Linked DNA regions of Styela clava. The protein of the gene in region 1 interacts with the protein of each later gene in a pairwise test. Links are inferred from orthologs where the notes say so. Each region holds a gene or a part of one and is shown in the gene's direction. Other genes may lie near its edges.

Evidence for each region. The genes of interacting proteins can lie anywhere in the genome.
Region 2: the proteins of RAF proto-oncogene serine/threonine-protein kinase-like (region 1) and ras-related protein Rap-1b-like interact in a two-hybrid assay, tested with the Drosophila melanogaster proteins (2 studies listed by BioGRID). The link is inferred for Styela clava from reciprocal best matches to the Drosophila melanogaster genes Raf and Rap1.

The regions. Positions count from the first base shown.
Region 1 is NC_135256.1:7,211,602-7,218,494, reverse strand, and holds the start of RAF proto-oncogene serine/threonine-protein kinase-like, read left to right. Parts: upstream 1-3,868; 5' UTR 3,869-3,968; coding exon 3,969-4,064; intron 4,065-4,603; coding exon 4,604-4,705; intron 4,706-5,696; coding exon 5,697-5,784; intron 5,785-6,103; coding exon 6,104-6,202; intron 6,203-6,893.
Region 2 is NC_135258.1:19,422,277-19,429,773, reverse strand, and holds the start of ras-related protein Rap-1b-like, read left to right. Parts: upstream 1-4,466; 5' UTR 4,467-4,622; intron 4,623-5,363; 5' UTR 5,364-5,385; coding exon 5,386-5,442; intron 5,443-5,803; coding exon 5,804-5,872; intron 5,873-6,543; coding exon 6,544-6,600; intron 6,601-7,497. UniProt on the Drosophila melanogaster protein: Ras proteins bind GDP/GTP and possess intrinsic GTPase activity. Plays a role in photoreceptor cell determination.

The DNA.
Region 1 (6,893 bases):
TGGATTAACGAGGAAACGTTTGTCAACTATCTCTATCACTTCATTAAGCATACACGCTGTGTACCCGACCGAAAGGTATTGCTCATCTTAGACAATCACGAGTCCCACGTTTCACTAAAAGCTGTTGACAAGGCGAAGACGAGCAGAGTTGTGGTGTTGACCATTCCTACATACACGTCCCACAAACTCCAGCCTTTAGACAAGACTGTTTATGAACCATACAAAAGCGACTACGCGCGCGCGATGAATAATTGGATGAGGTCCAATCCGGGTAAGACTGTGTCTATACACGATATTGCTCATTTGGTGAACGAAGCTCCCATCTGCGCTTTTGTACTGCGTAATATCCTAGCTGGCTTTCACAGCACTGGAATTATGCCTTTCAACAGCGACGTATTCTTGGATGAAGAATATGCCTCATCTTCAGTTACAGAACGCGAGTTTGCTCGGCAGTAGACAATGTTGAAAATGCGTCAGGTTTACAGAGTAATCCTGATACTCCCACGTACCAAAAAGATAACACAATTCAATCAAGCTGGCGTTGAGACCAATATTGGCTTGACTGGAGCAGAGCAGACTAGCAACGCAGAGACTTTTTATGTGTTTCCAGGTGATAAAAATACTACCTTTACCCAATGCAGGACTAAGGAAGGTGAAAGCTTCCAATAGGAAAAAAAGGAAGCTCGGAAATTTTGACAGACACACCAGTTAGAAATGAAATAGCAGCAAATCAGTGGCTAGATTAGAATAAAATAGAGCAAAGAACTACGGTCGGGTTAAAAAATGCTCTTTGCAAACAAGGAAACAGTTAGAGTGAGGGTAGCACCATCCGGATGCACCACTTCGAGCTAAAGTGAATCTGACGGGAATGTATTGTGCGATGATACTGATGACACAGGAGAAGAAAATCAAAATATTATTGAAGGCGATTTTGTCATAGTCAAGATAAGTGGAAAATCTCGAATTGTTCAATACGTCGCAAGAGTTGATGCTTTTGAAGGAGTGTTTCTCCGCCTGGTTTTAAGCGTAAATGACGGAACTACCTTTATTCTGGATGTCGAAGATGAAGCACTTTGGTCGAAGAAAGACATCGCAAGAAAATTAGCCATCCCCAGCATTATTGGAACTTCACACGTCGTTCACGTTCTCATTGAGGATATATAACTAATTGTATAAAAAATGGCTCATCTCTCCCGCATCTCCCCTACTCTGCGTGGGTTCGCAGGTTCGAAGCCCATTCAGGGATAGTTATGTGCGAGAGGATTGCTGGACTCCTCGCTGCCGTAGGGTGGTTCACGTAACCGCGTACGGCTTCCCCGACCATCAATTCTATGCTTCCAGAAACAATTAACTAACTAATTCTATACCCGACATGAAATGGTAACCGGACGAGAGGCCGTGGTTCGCCATGTGGTTAAGCGTAAATATATACTACTACGGGTTAAGCCATATTATCGACTTTCCCTTCCCCGGGATAAATATGTAAATCCTAATCCTTGGTAGAGATGTATGTCGCACATCTGTGTCTTGGGCCAGTAAGGGTTTTAACATGTATCCCGTATTTTTTACGCTGTTTAATTGATATGCAGATACTGTTACATTTTGAGGCAAATAAACATACATACTTATTATTTGGGTATCTCAAATCCGGTTCAACGAACCGGTTCTCCTCTGTCTGATCCAATGACTCTCCCTTACTTTCGGCAGGTTTATCTGTTGGTTTACTGGTTTATTGTCCTCGCTTTCCCGACTGAGCTACCCGAATACTTTTGAGTTGATGCTTTGTACAGCTTTACAGGCTCTATGGAATTCTATCATTTCAGTTGAACCAATGGACTTTTGGAACAACGCCAGAGTACCGGTACGGTACCGCTACCGGAGCTGACACAGACACGTAAGTTAAATTCAAAGTTACCGGTACCGTACCCTGTACCGGTACTTGTTTGGCTGTACGGTACGGCGTTATCCTGTTATTCCTGTACGCTGGTACCATTCTGGTGTTGTGATATCATTTTTATGAAATTGCAGTACTGCAGTACGTATTTTAGTTCAGTTTTATTTTCACTTTATTCCTTCAGAACTTTGAGATACGATTGGTTACCGGTACCGTATCTTTTGTCTCAATGTTTATTTTACAGATTGGTAGTAGTCTAAATTCTGAAATTGTATACCGTAGCTTAGATGGTGTTTCTGTGTAGTTTTATCTATTTATTTCCCAGATAATAAATTATGGATTCAGAATAGTTTGTGATCATCAGAAAGGGCACAGTTCTCCAATTCTAAGATGTCCCGACATTTGGTTTAATGAAACAAACACACTATTTGTCTCTTAAACGAGGGCGTCTGGCCCGACGGCGGATGCGTCAGATTGTGCCATGCTTGTCTCAATAATAATCTAAATTAGTCGCAGTAGTCACAGGACCTGAAAACTTTCAAATGCTACGTTAAAAAAATTCTCCTCCATTGAATTGGATCCTTTTTTTATGAAGAATCTAATAATTTTAAATTGCGCTTCCTGTTAGTTTATTGCAAAAGGCTGGTTTGTCGATTTATGTCAATATGGTGGCCTAGATGGTCTTGTAAAGGAGTGGTTTTCACTCACTGTTATAATTGATGGAAGGAAGCTTCAGCATAAAAGCCGACAGCAAGCACAGAATAAAAGATAATTCATATTACAGTATTACTGACTGTGGGACTTTTCTTTGAAAAAATAACCCGATTTACCTAAGGAAAAAATTTTTTACCGTGGCATTTGAGAGTTTTTAAGAAAAAACACCAATTTTGATCACATGATGGCCACGGTTAATTAGATTATTATTGAGACAAGCATGGCGCAATATGACTCATCTGCCGTCGTGCCAGACGCCCCTCATTTGTGAGACACTTGGAGTGTTTGTTTTATTGAACTAAATGGAGGGAAACTCTTGGAATTTGGATAGTGTGCCAGACTGTACTGCTGTACAACGAACCGATTGTCCTCTGTTCGATCTTATAAGAGGGTAATGAGCTGAAACACAGCATATTGTTAGAGTACAAGCATAATATATCTTTGCACCTGCTTCTGAATGACATCTTTCAGCTTAAAGAAGCGGGGCTTTCTAACTCCATTTTTATCGCTATTCAAATATTATTTCATATTCTTTCATTTTCTTATCACTATAATTTACAAAGAACATGCGATTTTGAAGTGCTTGGTAACAACTGTTTAAAGTTGTATTGAATCTAATTAGTCTGTAATATATCATTAACTGTGTCCCCCCAAGGTGTGTCAAATTGTCGCAGCAGATAGATTTTTTATGGGCTCTGAAATGCCAGACTGTAAACGCTAGACTGTTGTGCAACTGCAAGTACACTATTCCAGTTGTTGACTTTGAGCGCGTGTGTAATGTTAACTCTTGGATGTGGCAAATTGATTTATTTGCACTGGGTAAGGGAAATGTCAGTCTATACATTGTGTGAAAATTGTGAGGGGAGCACTGCTAGTTCAAGAAGTTGCTCACAAACTTGGTAAATCAAAGAACAAACAATATTAAGCCATATGCCCTTTGTTTTATGCTTGTTAGCAGAAAATATAATATTGTCATTTTAGTTTATCGATGTTAGTATCACCAGTGTTAAAAAAATCACAGATTCAGTGGTGATTCACTGCTCAGTGCCATTGCCCAACTCATTGAATGACTCGCATTGTCATTTCAACGATTTCCCTTTTTCTACCCCAATTTATCTTATCATATAATTTGTAACAATTTTGTTTTTTTGAAGCAATCCTTTTGAATAAAAACATTACACTAGCATAAAACTATACGAGCATGTGTACCAGGAGCTCATAGATGACTATAAAACACTAATATAAACCTTGCTATGACAGATGAAATATTACTAAATTAACCAATCAACTGATTAATAATGAAAAGTTATGTTTGAATATTTGATGACATATCACTGAACAGCACACTAGTAAATGCTGTATGGTTGGATCTTCTAAAAGAATGTCAACCATGACTCAACCTCTCTTTTCATCAGAGGGGAGGAGATCAAGTGACATCAGGAAGATACAGGAAGATGTGAGTGCATTGTTTAATATAGATCTGAAATATGTAATCGAAATTCTGTGTTGTATTCTGAATCCCAAAATGTGGCAGTTTATTTTGTATTCATGAAGGTTTGTTACATATTTCATATCTGGCTAACAATAAAATTAAAAGCCTTGTTTATGTTTCAACTTATCTTTGTCATATTTGCTGTTGTTCAAGAATGATTTGTGCCTAATTATTTTCCTCTTGTATTTTTACATTATCCTCCACAGACTTAAAAAGTGCATTTTTAAAATTTCATAAAAATGCAAGTGACCAAAATGCAGACAATGTCATACCAATATCACTTTTTATTTTACAAAATAACTGTTTTTTAACTGAGTTTTTTTATATAATATCAATCAGAACAATTTTTCAGGAAACTATGAATTTTTGAATCCGAATTCTACCCAATTTTCACTGACAAGTCCACTGACAATACTGGTTCCTCAGATGCCAAGAAGTTCGCTAGCCGTCCTCTAACAATATTTTGAGTGTAATGACTAATGATTCATATAATGATATTTCAGCTTCAAAATTTGAATGAAGTAATCAGATTGACCAAAGATTCCATTATCCGACTGAATGATAAATTTGGTGGAAATACGAACCCTCCGCCTATTTATCTTGAAGTAAGTATTCTCATTGATCATTGGTTGTGTATCTTTATGGTGGTTAGGCAAGCTGTTCTCATATTTCAGGATTTATCAAAATATCTGGTTTTTTGAACGAAGACTATTCTCCTTTTTATTCTTTGTAACGGCTTGAAGTTCAAAAGCCTCAGCAAGTACAATGAAATTGGTTTTGCAATAGATTTATTGGAACAGCTATGCTGGCTTCATTGTGGTTTCTGAAACTAATTTTGAATAGAAACCATAACCTGGTATCCAATCCAAATATCCAATCCAATCCAATCAGGCATAAATGAAGTAGATCAATCCCTTAATTAAGCAATAACTTTTTTTTAAAAAGCCAAGTTGAATTAAATTCATATTATGGTGTTTTTCATCAGTGTTCGCACTGACTAACATTTGCAAATGATGCCTGCAAAGATGAGAATCTATTTAAGGCTACTTATTATCTCTATCTTGATTTGCTGGATTTCAACCATGCATTAATTATTGATATGCAATGTAATTTGCTGTAGATGAAGTGGTTTGATTAATATCATGCCTGGGGTGTAGATAAAATAACTTCTGCCAGATACATCTTTACAAAAATCAATCTTTGTTTTACATAAACTTAATCTTCTCCCTCCTTCCAGAGGGAGCAGAATTTGAATGTCTTTTATTATTCCCTGTTCTAAATTTATATTTGCTATCTCTGATCAACGAAGCCTTTGTGTCAATATTATTGTTTTTGCAACTTTTTTCACTATATAAACGCCATGCTTTAATTTGACCTGTTATACTAAATATATCATGTGAAAATAGTGCATTTTAGTTATCAATATCTTGCTCAGGATTGGATGCAAGTATATTACTTCCTACATAACCAAAAATCATTGATATCAATGAATTCTTGTGAAAAGCGCAAAATTTTCCATAGTTTTATTTTTATGCTCATTTACCAGTGAGGTATATTACTGAGTGTAACTACCGTGAATTTCTTTTCTTATTCCAGGAATATCGTGAGTTAACGGACAAACTCGGGGATCTTCAAACAAGGCACCATAATCTCACTGATGTTTTGGAACAACAATTATTACAAGGTAAACAATATTTCATATATTCAGATTTCGAGTTTGGAGCGAAGATAACTAAAGCCAATTTTTCAACTTTCCTGTATTCATTTCAGAGAAAATCTACACAATAAGTATACTGTCTGCTGCTATATGTTAATATTTTTGTTTCAATGTAATCCAGTTTCATGCATGGATGCTATTTTCTATTTTCATGTTGTATTTTCAGTCAATTATTAGCATAAGTTTATGATATTTTATTCGGCAATTCAATAGAATTAATGATTTATTGATATTTGATTCTAGAGCAGTGTAAAACTATTTTAATTGGAATGTAAATGTTTTACAGGATCACAAACTAACTCATTTTCACAAGAACCATCCGGGGTGCAAACACTACCGGGCAACAGAATATTTTTCCCACCTGGTCCACAGTACGTTGGCACTGGTAAGTCGTTAATTTTAAATAGACATTTTGGATATAAATTGGATCTCACTGTAATTCTAGAAACTTGTATTCTAGGGTGTATATATGCAGATATTTATTGTGACTCAATTACAATGACTCTAACGTAAAACGTTAGTACTCCCGTAGTGTGTGTACCAGGTTAGGGTTGGGCCATAATTTTATTCAGATTTTTCTTCTAGAAACTTGTAATCTAGGGTGTATATATGCAGATATTTATTGTGACTCAATTACAATGACTCTAACGTAAAACGTTAGTACTCCCGTAGTGTGTGTACCAGGTTAGGGTTGGGCCATAATTTTATTCAGATTTTTCTTTTTTAAGTTCTATTACAAGTTCCGGGACTGTCTGTGTTAGCCAAGTGAATATACCCCCTGCCCATCGGCTTCCATTCCTTTACCCAACTTTATGTAAAGTAGACAAACAAAATTAGTTACCTTCATATTGGTACACATACTTCTGAAGCGTCAACTTTGGCGAACCATGATATTTTAAATTTCATTTAGATAAATACGAAAGTTTGGATATGATGATTGAGTTGAACATAAATAAATTTGTTTCATTGTTAAAACTGTAAAACTAATATTATTACCTCCTATTTCTAGTTAATGGAAGGAATCACTACCCCCTTAGTGGTTTAGGAATTTTTTTCAATGAATTTCCCTGTTGAAT
Region 2 (7,497 bases), on another chromosome or scaffold:
ACTACACGATGCTATAAAATAATGTATAATTATTACATAGCCTAAAACGTTTAAATTAACATTAATTCAGTAATTTCAGAATTTCATTAAATTTCCAGATTTCTGTAGGCCTATTTAGTGGAAGTAATTTGGTTAGCGGCAGTAGCGGTGTACAGACATTTAGGAACAGATATTTGGATCCACGATACAGCGATATGGATAACTTATTTTGGTATTACAATGAAAGTGAAGTATTTTATATTATTATTCATGATTTCGTTATCACAGTATCACAATCAGACAATCATAAAACTGTAAAACAGTAAAATTAGAGCAAGCTCGGAAGCTTAAAAGTTCCAACAGAAAAGAGGCAACATGATTCTTTATTTTTAACATCTGGTATCATAAATGCATTCTGGTATCAGACGCAGAATTGATTCGTTTTACAAAAAATGTATAAATCCTGAAATCAGTTGAATTTGCGTGTATTAAGGAGTTTTCAAAATACTTATCTATCTACCCATTTCTTTGCTTAATATGCTTTTGTTAGTCGTTGTTCTGTTCTTATGTTCCATTTCAATGAAATACTTCACTTGTAGTCTGGAACTTCTGCAGTTCTGTAAGCCATTCGTTGTAATGTCAGAATGCTGGAATGTACATTCCTGCATTCAGACTTTCACTAATGTGCCAACTTGGTCTTACTGACTGACTGATGCACTGCTAGGTCAGTTCTGCAGTTACGGAGTTAGTGAAAACACAGCAAATATCACAACGCTCTGCAGTTTGCTGTTGCTGTAATACTGTTTTTGTAAATAATGTAAAAATTGATATTGATAAATTATTCAACTGTAAAATGTACTGTTTTTACAATGGACTATCATGGTATTTTTAATTATAGACAAGTTGACACTAGTTTTTGCCACTAAACATACCACAACCCAGCAACCAGACAGCAGCCGGACGGTTATTTTGAATTCTGCATTATCCATCTACAGATCTATTAGCCACTGCTAAATCATATGTCAGATTCCCATCAGAATATAGATCAAATTGTGTATGGGATTAGTTAACCAATTGTCAGAACTGTTTGTTCCAGGTATGATCTGGATTCAATGCTAGAGATATAAAGTTACAAAAATTAGTCCACACAACATATAATAACGAGCGGTCTTACTACTTACTGAATACAGCGCAAAACAGAGGGAAACAGCGCAAAACACTGTGGAAACAGCGCGAAAGAGCGCAAAACAGAGGGAAACAATGTTAAGCAGAAAAAATTTTTGCAATGAGTTCGGGACACCTTGTTTTGAGTTGGAGTACCACGGCAGCAAATTAAAAACACAAACCAACGTATGTAGCCAGTAATGCTGTAATGGCAGGTCTGCCCCTGCTGGTGACACATTTTGGGTACCATAATTTAGAACATTTTCCATATGGATATGGTTGGCTTTAGGGTTAGGGTTAGGTAAAATGGGACCTCCAGAAGTATGTGCACCAAGATGGCGCACAACCTGAAAATAGTATGTGTGTGTGTGTGTATCGGATTCAGGTTGTGCGACATATTGCTGCACATACTTCTGGAGCACCAAAAAGGTAGATAAAATTTCGCATGATGACCTACCGTATAATCCGGTACATAACCTTGTAAATATACCGGAAATGGCGCCGTGGTTCTTTCGTGGCAAGAGGTGGTAATGACTGCGTCTCCTGTTTTGCGCTGTTTCCCTCTGTTTTGCGCTGGTTTCCTTCTGTTTCGCGCTGTTCCCCTCTCTTTTGCGCTGTTTTCCTCTCTTTTGCGCTGTTTCGCGCTATTTTGCACTGTTTCGCGCTATTTGCGGTGTTTCACGCTGTATTCAGTAAGTAGTAAGACCCAATAACGAGAATATCAGTCAGAGACCAAAGACTTATCGATCGAAAGTTAGTGGATCCCCCAAAACAGAAACTGAGGTTTCGATTCATTTGCTTTGACTCCATAGTGACATTGCGTGTCCCATCACTAATTAATCAATTAATACCTCGCTAATTATACAACATAATTCATCCAAAATCAATAGGCTTCTGGTCCGAAATATGATGAATGCACATGCAAAATTTGGAACAGATTCAACCTCACTTTCGTGAAATAGCGTGATTGTATCTAACAGAGAAACAAACAAACAAATACCTATCAACATACTTACCGATCAAGATCGATAAGTAATAAACCCAATAAAGTAATAATAATAAGTAATAAACCCAATAAAACTTTGAGCTGTATATAGATACTGTAATACAGTAATATGTGCCTCTCAATAATAATAGGATGTACAAGCTGGGAGTTGGGATCATGGAGATAGGTTGGAGAAAGATTTGGGTTGATCAGATTGGAATTGATCAAAGCGTCTAGGGAAGCGATTGGCAAACTGCAGGCCATGGGCCAAAAGCAAAAAAAAATTTGTGGCCTTCTGACGACCTCATTTTCAATGCGTGAAAAAGTTGAAAGGCACAATTGTGTTATTGGTATGTTGTTAACTTGCGTTCTCAACCATTTCAAAGAGCTTAGACAGCAAAACATTTCGTTATTAAGCATTAGTCAAATCCTTTTTGCTTGATGTGCCAAACCAGCATTGCACTTATGTACTGCTGATATCGTCAACAAAGTGACCAGCTAATTTTATTGCTGAGAAACGGCCGAATATACTTCAGTACAGCCATCATTCAAAGGTTCAATAAGGTGATTGTTCATAATCTGAAATTAATGTGGCCCGTAGGTCACCCGAAATGTTCATATTTGGCCCAGTAGTACATAAGTTTGCCAACTCCTAGTCTATGTCGTATAAATCATACACTAACTTTGGTACATGATGCCAAATACAGGGTTATCAGACCAAGTGTAGACAAATGTTTAATAAAATATCTATAATATAAATCTACAATAATAAATCAGCAAATAAGGGAGCGTTCGTGATAGCGGCTTACACTGATCAAAGTGTATTTGTCCGAGGATAAGATGTATTGTGGAGTAACGCGCAAAATGACAAAAACATGCCCGTTTTGTTTTAGGTGGAGAGTTACTGGCGAGAGCAATAAAAGACAAGAACTAGTAGCGCTATAAACGCCGTTTAGCGAATACAAAAGTTGATTGTTGCAATAATTCAAAGCTGCTTTTGAACCACTCGAAGAGGTCCTGTGTATCAGTAGTGGTGTGCGTAACTCAGATTGAGAACAACTGCTCTAAGGCATAGATTGATAACTTGTTTGGACAAAATTTTAGAAGAAGCCATACGTGCCTCGTGTAGTCAAGTTCTAATCAGATCGATGTGTGAAGGCAAAGGAAGGATATTTCGGAAAATAACAATAAATTCTATTATTTTTATTATTATGCTATTTTCTGCAAAATATTTTTTTCTCTCTCACATTCATATTGTAGATATTTTAATAAACATTTGTCTACACTTGGTCTGATCACCCTGTACAAAAGCATGTAAAATTGTAAAGAAAATAAATGTATTTTAATGATCCAATAGCATAAATGTTGAGATGTGAGTCATTATTACAGTAATGAAAACATGGGTTTTATTTTATGATGATGCATTACATAATTGTGGTTATTCCAAGTTATCTTCAGTCGGAGAGATAATTTAAAAAAAATGTTTCATAGACCAGAAAGTGGAAATACTAGGTTAAGTTATTCTGAACTAAAACGAACATTCAAATTCCATTCTAATGTTTCCTTTTTGAAAAATGTGGCGACTACTGGATGTTAATCATCTAATGCTCGGAATCACTTTTTCCTGTAGAGAGAGTGTAATGTGGCAATTCTTGCCTGTTTGCAATTCAAGGGTTCTTGTCACGACAAAACCATGACCCGGCGTCATTCTAGGCACTTCACAGTATTGTTGAGACAACATGCTACAGTGATTTTCAGACATGTGTTGTTATTGTGTTCCTGTAATTATAAGTTATACTGGTATGCTATGGTCAGTATGAAATGGAATATTATGTGGCCCTTCATCCCCAAAAGGTCAAAGTACATAATTTGGGATACAGAAATACAAATATTTGGCCCACTGTTATTCTTGTTTCATTGCCTCATTTTATTTATTAACCTGGGAGGCAGTGGTTTTTTCACCTTTTTCTTAGATTTGCAAAAGGCTTAAAACAATTACGGTAAATAAAATACAGTAATGCTGAAACAAGAAATTTCATTTTAAAAAACTTTTATGTGGTTACCAATTGCCATCCATACATTCACACTCAAACAACAAATTATAGAATTCTCTTACTGAATACTGGTACAATTTTCAGAGATATCGTTTTCATTTTTAAAAACTGGTGTATTGGCTTATCACAGAATTAATATATTTTGGTTTAAAAAGTTACTGTCTTATCATCTGAGATTTGTAGACTAATAGTTATTTTATTTGATAGTATTCCTGTGAGGATGTGAACCTTATTCTGATACTCAGAAATTATTTCTTGTGTTTTCTTCCTTATTCATTTTCTAATGAAATATTTATTTCTTATAAAAGATTCAGGTTTCAAGTTGTATAAGTACTCAAGTAGAGCATTATATAAAATATCTTGGTATATTCGTACTTGGTGGATATAAAACTTCTTGTGGAAATTGTGTTTTCTGTTGCCCACTTGCTGCACTGTGTAAGGTAAGCTTTTTCGATACATTTTTTTTGTCCAACTCATTATAAATTTACGTTCTGTTGAAATTTTGTTCATAATTCTCAGTCAAAAAACCGAATTCATCTAAGTTGAAATTGGATATGAAGCCAAGTTTGAGATAGCTATGTTGACCCAAGTGTAGCAAGTGTAATAATTTAATCTTCTTGAATATAGTCTTGATGAATCAAGTTGTGTAAAGGGACTGAAGCCTATGGGCAGGCAGTATATTCACTTGGCTAACAAAAACAGTCCCTGTACTTGTAATAGATGTAAAATAAGGAAAATTGAAAGAAAATTATGGCCTAACCCTAACTTCGTTCGCATACTATGGGCGTACCGATTTATGTTGGCTAATGATAAATTCTAATCCACTGAGTTCTGCATCCTAGTAGCCCTGTTCTATATTGCTTTGTTATAAAAATAAATCGTAATTGTGTTATTACATAAATTTGTGTGGTGTATGTCTGCCTATCCTTGTAAATTTTCAAGTATTCTATTCGTATCTAAATGTTTCAAATATTTGGCTGAACCAAAGCGTGACTAATTGTCATCTCAGACCTCAGTCTAATTCAAAATCAGATAGTTCATCCTGTTCTTTTGTTCAATGAACGGCAGACATATTAATCTTCTTTAAATGTTTTTTTTTACTAATGAAAAGAATGCTTCCTTCCACTAGTTATCATAAGCTGTTATTATTATTATTAAGTAAATTTTTCAAATTCTTTTAGGTAGATCACACCAACTGGAAGGATGCGAGAGTACAAGTTGGTTGTGCTCGGTTCTGGAGGTGTTGGGAAAAGTGCATTGGTAAGTGTTAGCCTGAATTCCTTCTGTAGTCCTTGACAATGGATTAAAATTATGGTATTTAAATTGATAGAACTCTCAAAATTTATTTCATTTTTCATAATCAAGTCAGTATTTATTTGAATATATATATTTTGGTTAGTCAAGACTCAAGACAAGACATATATAAAGAAATTCTTGCTCGGCCAATTTTTTGGATCTGAAACATATCAATGAAATTTAAATGTGGGCGATTCTTGAAATGTGAAAAAGTTTGTTAATCATTCCCAAATGGTATCTATCTGCGTAATGTTTTGTGGCTATTCAATAAATTTTGTCAAGTTTCCTCATGCCGAGCATTCAATAATTGAGTTGTTTTTCACAGACAGTGCAATTCGTACAAGGAATATTTGTTGAAAAATATGATCCTACAATAGAAGATAGCTATAGAAAGGTTTGCTTTTCCATTGATTTTTTTTAATTAGTGGCTTGATATTAATAGCATTATCAGTAATTGATGACCATTGATTAATGAAAAAACATTAATGCACACAGTAAGAATATGTCTGTAATTTAAAATACTCAAATGTTGAATTGTGCTTTAACCAATGTTCACAAAATTTAAGTCTTTACAACTACATAACTAATTTGGCTGTAGTCATGTTCAGGCTTATTTCAGAATGTATGTTGATGGGCGTATACCTTATTATTTATTGATTTTATATAGTTACAGTTATCGTATATATGTTAAAAAATGGTTTGTGGAAGCAAAGAAATTGATTAAATATATTACCTATGTAATCGAGGGTATATTTAATGTACATCGGTATATATAAACAGCCTGTTTATATGAACATCATGGTACAGAACCTTCTTAGTTACGATATGATACCATGAACTTATGGTATGGTTGTTTGGATAGTGAAAATTATCATTATTTCTGTCGAGTTTGTCTTTTCCGGGGTATTGTATCAAGATTTTTCTACCAGTAGATCTATTTCAAACATAACTATTCTTAGCTGTGCAAGGAAGAAGTGGTTTCTGTCCGAGAAATTTAGTACTGATGATCTTTTCAAGTAATATTGTTTATAATATATTTTCACTGTCTACTTTTGTGTATTACAGCAAGTTGAAACAGATAACCAGCAATGTATGTTAGAAATCCTGGACACGGCAGGGACGGTATGATTTGTTTTTTCTTTCTCTTGAATTCTTGGTTTCAAAGCTAGTGAAATTATAAGTTGATGGTCCTTAAACAGCTTTTATTCTGAATGATTATTATATTTTATTAAGTCTTATATACTTCAAACTGCACTTAACAGCCTAGCTTGTCTTTTTATTATCTTTCCATCTGTGTCAATATTGAAAAAATTCAAGGTGTATGGAAAACGTGTAATTATAATACCTCTTTATTTGCAAAGTGTATTATCTCAGTACGTTGCCATCAACGCAGTTTGTGCTTGAGTCAACAGTCACACGTTGTCATTCCAACCAAAACAGTGAAATTGTCAGTAATTATATCGTGTGGTTCCAATGCCTTCTAATCAAAATACAGGTTCTATTGCTTTCTTTAATCTTTTGTGCAGTCGTCAAACTTTCATTATGGATATATGACTGGTTTTTGTGTGTCTAAGCTTGATTGATTGTCTCAAATGGAAAATAGGATTGCTATGACCTTATGGGAAGTCAAAACTTCTCTATTTCCTGGTGAAATTTAATAAATATCCTCTTACATTCAAACACATTTTATTAGGTTATACAAATTCTTTCGGAGTAGATTTCATAAGAATTTTGTTCCTTATTGTTTTATCAGCAGTCAAACAAGCCAAGCTTTCGCATTGCTGTGCCTCTTAGTTTAGAAGACGAATAAGTTTTGATTACATACATATGCATTTTTCCTTGTCAATTCAATATGATGTAATTTTATTTATGACCCAAAATGGAGTGTGAACTGTTGTCACCTAGTAGGCATATTCAATCGTTTATGTAATGTTAAAACTCATCAAATTTGATATTTTAATTCAGCACTGTTGCGAAATATATCAGTATATTAGCACCGACATCTAGTAGTATCAGGGC